2 linked regions of the Oryzias latipes genome follow. The protein of the gene in region 1 interacts with the protein of each later gene in a biochemical or structural test. Links are inferred from orthologs where the notes say so. Each region holds a gene or a part of one and is shown on either strand. Other genes may lie near its edges. The genes, in order: hmga1 and prmt6.

Region 1 (4,263 bases):
TAGAGTTTGCAAATGCAAGAATGAGATAGAAATAATATTTTTCTCAAAATGTCAGACCTTTTTGCAGTAAATTCTGACAAAAAAAAAACAGAAAGTAGAAAAAAGTTTCTGTAATCAATTTTAAAGCTCAAAGAAATGTGTCCAAAATCTGCAAAAGACTGTCTCTGCAGCTCCGTTGCATATTACATTACAGCAAATATTGCACAAGGTACTTTTATTGGGTTTGTTGGTTAATTAATTCCAGAAAGAAGAGCGACATTTCTATTTTTATTGACCTGAATTTCTTGCCAAAATAAGAATTTTCAGGAATCGCAGTTAATATTTCACATTGGGTTTTCTAGTAAATTTCAAAGCAAAAAACGAAAGGTATAAGCTGCAAAGATTTTGCACAGTACCAGGTACAATGTTCTTGTGATTTAAACATTAAACACATTTTTACATTATGTGTGTGTGTGTTTCTTTAAAGTTGTATCTTACAATAGCACGCTTTTATAAAATGTTCACATTAGTCCATAAAACTCTGTTTGTATTTGAAGTTTTCATACAATACAAGAAAGTTTATTCACTACAGAAAATAAGACAGAAAAAAATGTGTTTAAAAATCATGCAAAAGTCCAAAACTAACATGTAAGTTAGTAAAAGTTATGGAAATTATTCTAATTATTTATTTTTTAAATGTTAAATCCAAAAGAAACACTTATGGCAATCGATTTTGTTATAACAAATCCACATTTCTTTTGGTATTATTAAAGCTTAAAAAGCTATGTAAATAGTTTTTTTTTTCAAACTATTATAGTACAAAAATATTATAGCAATTTATATTTATTAATTTTGTTTAAAGCTGCTTAAACTAAAGTAACTGGACAGTTTTACACCTAAGAACAGATGAATGGATGTATGTGCCTCTGTAACACAAGAGAACACAATGTTCCAGCAGGGAATCAAACCAGCAGCTAATGAGTCAGCAGCCTTTTTGCAGCCAACTTCATCTGAATATATGTTTAAAAAATTAACTTCAGCTCCAATTAGTGTGCATTTATTTGATATTTTTGAGAGGGGTGTTTGTACGTTTTAGGTTCTTATTTGACAGTTTGAAATGAAATTTCTGGGACTATAAGCAGGAGAGCTGAATGCTCCTAGTATAAAGGAGGCATGTGTTTACATTGGGGGAGGTCATAGTTCATTCACCATTACAGTGGAGACTGGAATGCAGACCTACTGTTCAGCAAAAGGACAAAATACTAAACACCACATATTATATTTGAACATTGAAAATGTACTTTCCGTCAGTTTTATTTTATGTGAAAAGTTCCTTCCGATACTTTCCAACATGTGTTTTGCGTTTTCAAACCGAATCAAGAAAATGTAAAGAATCCGCGCCATAAGGAGTGGTTGGGTGGAGGGGGGCTGAGCTTCTGTGGTACTGTTGGTGGCCCCATTTATCATATCTCCGCCCTCCAGTGTTCCTGCTCCCATGAGGGCGGCTCTTTAAATTGGCCAAAAATCTCCTCCTGGCTCGCGCCTTTTTTCTTTATCTTCACGAGACCAGACGCACGTGCTACATTCAGGACACCGTTGGAATAATCTTCTTGTTTTGCTGGTAAACTATATTTATTTACATATAAGCAGTTGTTTGGATGAAATGTTGATTTTTTTTTTCTTCAATTCAAAGCGGGTTTTTTTTCTTTTGTCGGCCGCGTGAGCAGGGTTTTTTAAATGGGGCGGGCTGTGCGTTGTCTGACGAAAAAAAGCTCCAGCCTATAGATCGTTGCAAGGTTTTTGAACCGGTTCGGCCAGGCTTCAGGGGCATTTCTGAACAAAATTAAGGACGGGGAAAGCGGACTAGTAACAGGTAAGCGCTGATTAATCCGGCGTGAACCGAATGTAGTCGGTTAGCTTCAAGCAAATTACTACATTTAAGCTAGCTTACAGGACGCCGCATTCTTTGAACGTGAAGATGTCTTTTGGCCTGCCTTCCAGTCGCCTTAAATTTACCGTCATGTTTTGTAAAATATCAGGGATTTTTTTAATTTTTATTTTTAATTATAGGGGGGACCCTAAAAGTCGCGCGCATGTAGCCGATGCTTAGCCTTCAAATGCAAACGAGCACATAGCAGCCATTGTGTTCTCGGTGGCCCCTGCGTGCAGACCTGCTGTGAGATGGATTCGTGCACAGGCCCGACCATTGGTCACAACAGCTCCAGGCAGGACGGGCCCCTAATATGTTTGGTTCGGGAACGGTGCAACGGGTTCAGTAGTGTCCCCCCGCCCTCCTCCCCTTTTTTCCTCCCACCGCCCCTCGAGTCTGTGCATTAACATGCGATCGCCTTCGTTGTCTGGTTCTGTGTAGCACGGTGCTGTGTAATGGAGCGCGGATGAGACGGAAATAGACCTGGAAGTAAGCGCGGATTAATTGAGTTAAACCGGGTTCGTGTGTTTGGCGACGGTCGGATTTTATTTGAATATGTTAGTTTTAAATGCGGTCATTGGCTTTAGCGGGTTAGACGCTTTGTGTTGTGCGTGAACTCGACGCCTCGTCCTCCTCCTGCTGCTGCTGCAACAGCGCCAAATCTGTGGACTCTCTCCTCGTAGGTTCCAAGAGCTAAAGTAAGCATGAGCGACAAGGGAACCGTCTCGCCGAAAGAGAAAGAGGCGGCAGAGAAGAGAGGGCGTGGAAGACCCCGTAAGCAGCCCCAGGTAAAGACGACTGACGTAAGTAAACGCACATTTTACACCCCCTTCTCGTTTCGTATAGGCGTGCATGCTGTGGATCTGTAATTGTGCATGTGTTGCACCGGGAGAGTGAAGTGCTCCATGCATGCCCTAAAATCCAAGTAGAGGCCCGCAACTTGCAACCCCCCCACCACCATTTCAAAGCAACCTGTAACCCTACACCTTTAAACCGGTTTAACCCCCCACCCCCCTCCCCCCCATCCTCTCGCCCACCTATGTGCTCCATGTAATGGATGACATAGCCCAGTCCAAGCAGAGTGGCTCATAGACCTGTCAGTCAGTCTGCTGTGGTTTACTACTGAGTTGCCTGGTTGCTAAGAGCAGCAGCTGTAAACAAGCTACAAATGCAACAGAAGGCAAGTCAGCCACGACACCATCCAACCACAAATTACGCATGAATACGATTACTCGCCTCCTGTTGATTATTGGTGATGCCAGTCTCCCAATAAGAAGAAAAAAAACGCACTGCAATAAAACTTGAATTAACTCTGGGTCGCTTTGATCACCAGGAGCCCAGTGGATCCCCGACTCCAAAGAGGCCCAGAGGACGACCAAAGGGCAGCAAAAACAAGACCGGCGGCAAGGGCAAAGTAAGTTGACATACAATGTGAAGGAGCAGAATTTCCAACACATCCATTGCCCCCTGCATCCATTTGGTTTAGCAGCGCAGCAGCTGCTGACCACATACTCTTAAAGGACGTTGAGCTGTCATTTGTGACATTTAGTGTCTTCTTCCCCTCTTGTCACTAATGGCATAGTTATGGTTTCCCCATTGTAAAAACCCACTGGTTTAGTGCCTTACTTTTTGAGGTGTGTGTGTGTGTGATGGTGGTGGTGGTGGTGGTGGGGGGGGGTGTCATCCTGTCCTCCAGCTTCCTGCAGAGTGCAGGCAGTGCAGGTGCAGAGGCTGCAATACTGTTTCCAAGTTGACACTTAGCCCCCCCACCCCCCACCAGTACACAGCCCTAGTTCTTCTCTCTGCCTGTCGTCTCCATAGCAACATCAGATTTTTCTCCCTCGCCCCAACCCTCCAGCTCCCCCGTGTGCTCAGCCCATGTTTTTAATGCATGGGAAAAGGGAGAGCGGCAGACAGAGTTTGGGACAGGCGTGCACGCGGCACGATCGCTTTAGCAGCAGCGCCTGCTCTGCAGAGAGGGCTTCTGGGTCTTCGCTCGATTTCACCAGCTGTCTCTGAGCCTCAGACCAGGTGGCCTGCGAACTGGAGTGCCCCGTATGCAGTTCCTGTAGGCCATCCAGATAATAGCCAATGAACCCAATGCCCCCTCCCCTCCTGTCATTGTTAAAGTGTGACTGCCATCTACAGGCAGTTTAGGGCACTGTCACTCTCTCAAATAAAAAAAAATGCAGATGGCCGAAGCCTCTTCACTGCAGAATGTCTGACCTTGTGTCCCTTTTGTTCACAGAAGGCAGCGGCAGCTCAATCTTCAGCGGGGAAACGCAGAGGAAGACCCAAGAAAGAGGTAAGAGTTGCCCTTAAAACAGTGCAACAGTGTGCTAAAAACAGTGGGC
Region 2 (3,271 bases), on another chromosome or scaffold:
GGACATGACTGGCACTGCAGGATTTGAGTCACTGGTGGCATAGTGTGTTACTGATGGTAGTCCTTGTTATTTTGGTCCCAGCTCACTGCAGGTCATTCACCAGGTCCCCCAGTGTGGTTCTGGGACACCGTTCCTGTGATCATTTTGACCCCATAAGGTGAAATCTTGGAGGGAGGGAGATTATCAGTAGTCTTGTAAGTCTTCCATTTACAAATAATTGCTCCTGCAGTTGATTTCTTGACACCAAGCTGCTTACCCATAGCAGATTCAGTCTTCCCAGCCTGGTGCAGGTCAACAATTTGGTTCCTGGTGTCCTTAGACAGCTCTTTGGTCTTGGCAACAGTGGAGTTTAGAGTGTGACTGTTTGAGGTTGTGGACAGGTGTCTTTTATATAAATAAGAAGTTCAAACAGGTGCCATTATTATATTATTACAGGACAGATGATCCTCTTACAGAAAAGGTTACAGGTCTGTGAGAACCAGAAATCTTGCTTGTTTGTAGCTGACCAAAGCCTTGTTTTTTACCACAAGTTACAAATTAAGTCTTTTAAAGTCAGACAATGTGATTTTATTTTTCCTGACTTGGTCTCTAAATACCCCCCACACACACACACTCACACACACACAAATAAGAGTGCTATAAACAGATGGCTCAAGCAACATTTAAAAACAATAAATTGGAAGAAAATATTTAAAAACATGTCTCAGTTTAAAAGAATAAATCTATTAAAAAAAAAACAATGTAATATTACCTAACACAACACTTTCCTAAACTCTGTTTAAAGAAATGATGGTGATATTCCCCACTTAACCACTTGGAAATTTAAAGTAATACAAATAACAGGATAAAAATGAATATTTTAAAAAAAAGTGACCCAATTGTATGCAATACACTGAAGAAACAAATATTTGTCAAATAATTTAGTGTTTGTGCTGTCAATGTGAGTGGCTTTGACACCTGGAAATAGTTTTAGAGAAATTACGATTTTTTTTTTCTTTAAGTCCCCCTTTTCCATTATTATCCCTATTTTTTAGTCAATCCCAACATTCCACAAACATTTTGAAAGAAAAATGTGTAAACTCAAATTCTCAAATGTCAGAATTGTCCCGTTGGTTTGTGGGTATTGTAGTAGCTTGTCGTGAATATTAACTTCAAAGTCTCTCCTCTGCACTACAAATCCCAGATTCACCAACGCGGAAGTAGCAAACAAAAACACCGCCAGCTCGTAGCACGCTGCAGGAGAGGAAAAAGATGTCTTACGCAGGAAAAAAGAGAAAACTGGATAAAACCCGCCAGGATAGACTTTATTTTGACAGCTACGCGGATGTCACCATTCACGAAGAAATGATAGCGGACCACGTCCGGACCAACACTTATCGGACGGCGATTCTTTTGAACACCGAGTGCATTCGGGGTAAAGTGGTGCTGGATGTCGGCGCAGGAACGGGCGTGTTAAGCATCTTCTGTGCCCAGGCGGGAGCCAGGAAAGTCTACGCCGTGGAGGCCTGCTCTATATCCGAGCAGGCTGAGAAAATAGTCCGACAAAACAACATGGACGATCGAATTGAGGTCATTCGGGGGACCGTGGAAAGCGTGGAGCTCCCCGAGAAGGTGGACGTGATTGTGAGTGAGTGGATGGGTTACGCTCTGCTTCACGAGTCCATGCTCAACTCGGTGCTCTGTGCCCGGGATAGGTGGCTTCGGCCCGGCGGCATCATCCTGCCGAGCAGAGCCGAACTCTACATCGCGCCCATCTGTGACCCGGTGGTCGAAGACCGCCTACACTTCTGGTACACCGTCAAAGAGCAGTACGGCGTCGATATGTCGTGTATGTCCGACTTTGCCCGGAAGTGCATTATGAACTCTGACATCACGGTGAACACCGTGACCGTGGAGGACGTGCTTTCCCACCCGGCGCGCTTCGCGGAGCTGGACCTATATTCTGTGACGGCGGAGGAACTCCGCTCGGTGAAGGGCCGGTTCAGCTGCGGCTCGTTCGGCTCGGCGGCAGTCAATGGCTTCTGCGTGTACTTCACGGTCAGCTTCCCGTGTTCGGACAAACCGCAGACGCTCGTGCTCTCCACGTCGCCGTTCAAACCCGAGACCCACTGGAAGCAGGCGGTGCTGTACCTCGACTCCCCGGCGGAGGTGAAGCAGGACACGCTGGTCTCCGGGGAGGTGTGCATGTATCCCTCAGAGGAAAGCGACAGACATATATGTATCCACCTGGAGTATGCTATAGGAGAAGAGAAAAGACAGTCCAAGACTTTCTCCATGCCTGACTGGAGCTCTGACGCCTAGACTTAGAATTACTAAATGACCCTAAACATCACACAGAAGTAGTGTTATGATAAATAATTCAGATGATCAATTAATAGCACTTTAGTAGGAAAAAAACACCTGGTCTCTACATCTGCACTTATTTGATCAAGTTTTACTGCTTTTAAATTGGTATTTAAAAATAAAAGTTTAAATTCACTCTAAAATTGAGTTTGCTGTGTTTTTTCTTGTTTGTGAATCTAATACATCTTTTTTTATGTTTAGGAATAACCATAAAAATTCTTAAGTTACATTTGTTTCAGTGTATTTTTTCAATGTAAATGCTTCTTTACTCTAGTGAACAATGTTTTTTTATTTTATTTTCAATTTTATATTTAAATATTTATTTTTATAGACTGCAACAATATAAAATGGTATAATCATAAATTTCATTCATCCATGTAAAAAACAAAAATGGATTCTCACACCAGATATTTTAGGTTTTTGTTAATAATAAAAAGCAAACTTCTAAATTTACTAATTGTTCTTAGGTATTTGTTGTTCATAATGTCTTTCTTACCTTTTTTTTTTTAAAGCCGAGCTTAGATTTATAGATATATTGCTAACAAAAGAAAGTAGTACAAAAAAATTGACAACTAAGAACTTTTATGTTTTCTGAGAAAAACTGCTAAATAAGATCATTTTATATAACATTTTCCAGAATAAAAAAGTAATGTAAAAACTGATACAAGGATACTGTGAGGCATAAAGTGGCATTTTATGGTTTCTCTGAAAGCTGACAATGCTCTGTAAAAACGTGGAAAAAACAAACTTAGTAGTCAAAAATGATTTAGTTTTACAAAAGAAAAATGTTTTTTCTCTACTGGATCAGACAGAATTGGAAAGAATTTATTAAGCAGTAGATAAAAAAACAAAAACATATTCCATATTTATTTGAATTTTGGGGATAACATATAAACCAATGTATGCATTTGTGGACCACCTTTCATCA

The links.
Region 2: of the proteins of hmga1 (region 1) and prmt6, one has a biochemical effect on the other in vitro, tested with the Homo sapiens proteins (2 studies listed by BioGRID, with this or other methods). The link is inferred for Oryzias latipes from reciprocal best matches to the Homo sapiens genes HMGA1 and PRMT6.

The regions. Positions count from the first base shown.
Region 1 is NC_019865.2:19,767,164-19,771,426, reverse strand, and holds the start of hmga1 (high mobility group protein HMG-I/HMG-Y), read left to right. Parts: upstream 1-1,457; 5' UTR 1,458-1,600; intron 1,601-1,669; exon of another isoform or gene 1,670-1,852; intron 1,853-2,313; exon of another isoform or gene 2,314-2,398; intron 2,399-2,592; 5' UTR 2,593-2,613; coding exon 2,614-2,712; intron 2,713-3,242; coding exon 3,243-3,323; intron 3,324-4,157; coding exon 4,158-4,214; intron 4,215-4,263. UniProt on the Homo sapiens protein: HMG-I/Y bind preferentially to the minor groove of A+T rich regions in double-stranded DNA. It is suggested that these proteins could function in nucleosome phasing and in the 3'-end processing of mRNA transcripts.
Region 2 is NC_019878.2:11,442,777-11,446,047, forward strand, and holds prmt6 (protein arginine N-methyltransferase 6), read left to right. Parts: upstream 1-1,170; 5' UTR 1,171-1,251; coding exon 1,252-2,301; 3' UTR 2,302-2,486; downstream 2,487-3,271. UniProt on the Homo sapiens protein: Arginine methyltransferase that can catalyze the formation of both omega-N monomethylarginine (MMA) and asymmetrical dimethylarginine (aDMA), with a strong preference for the formation of aDMA.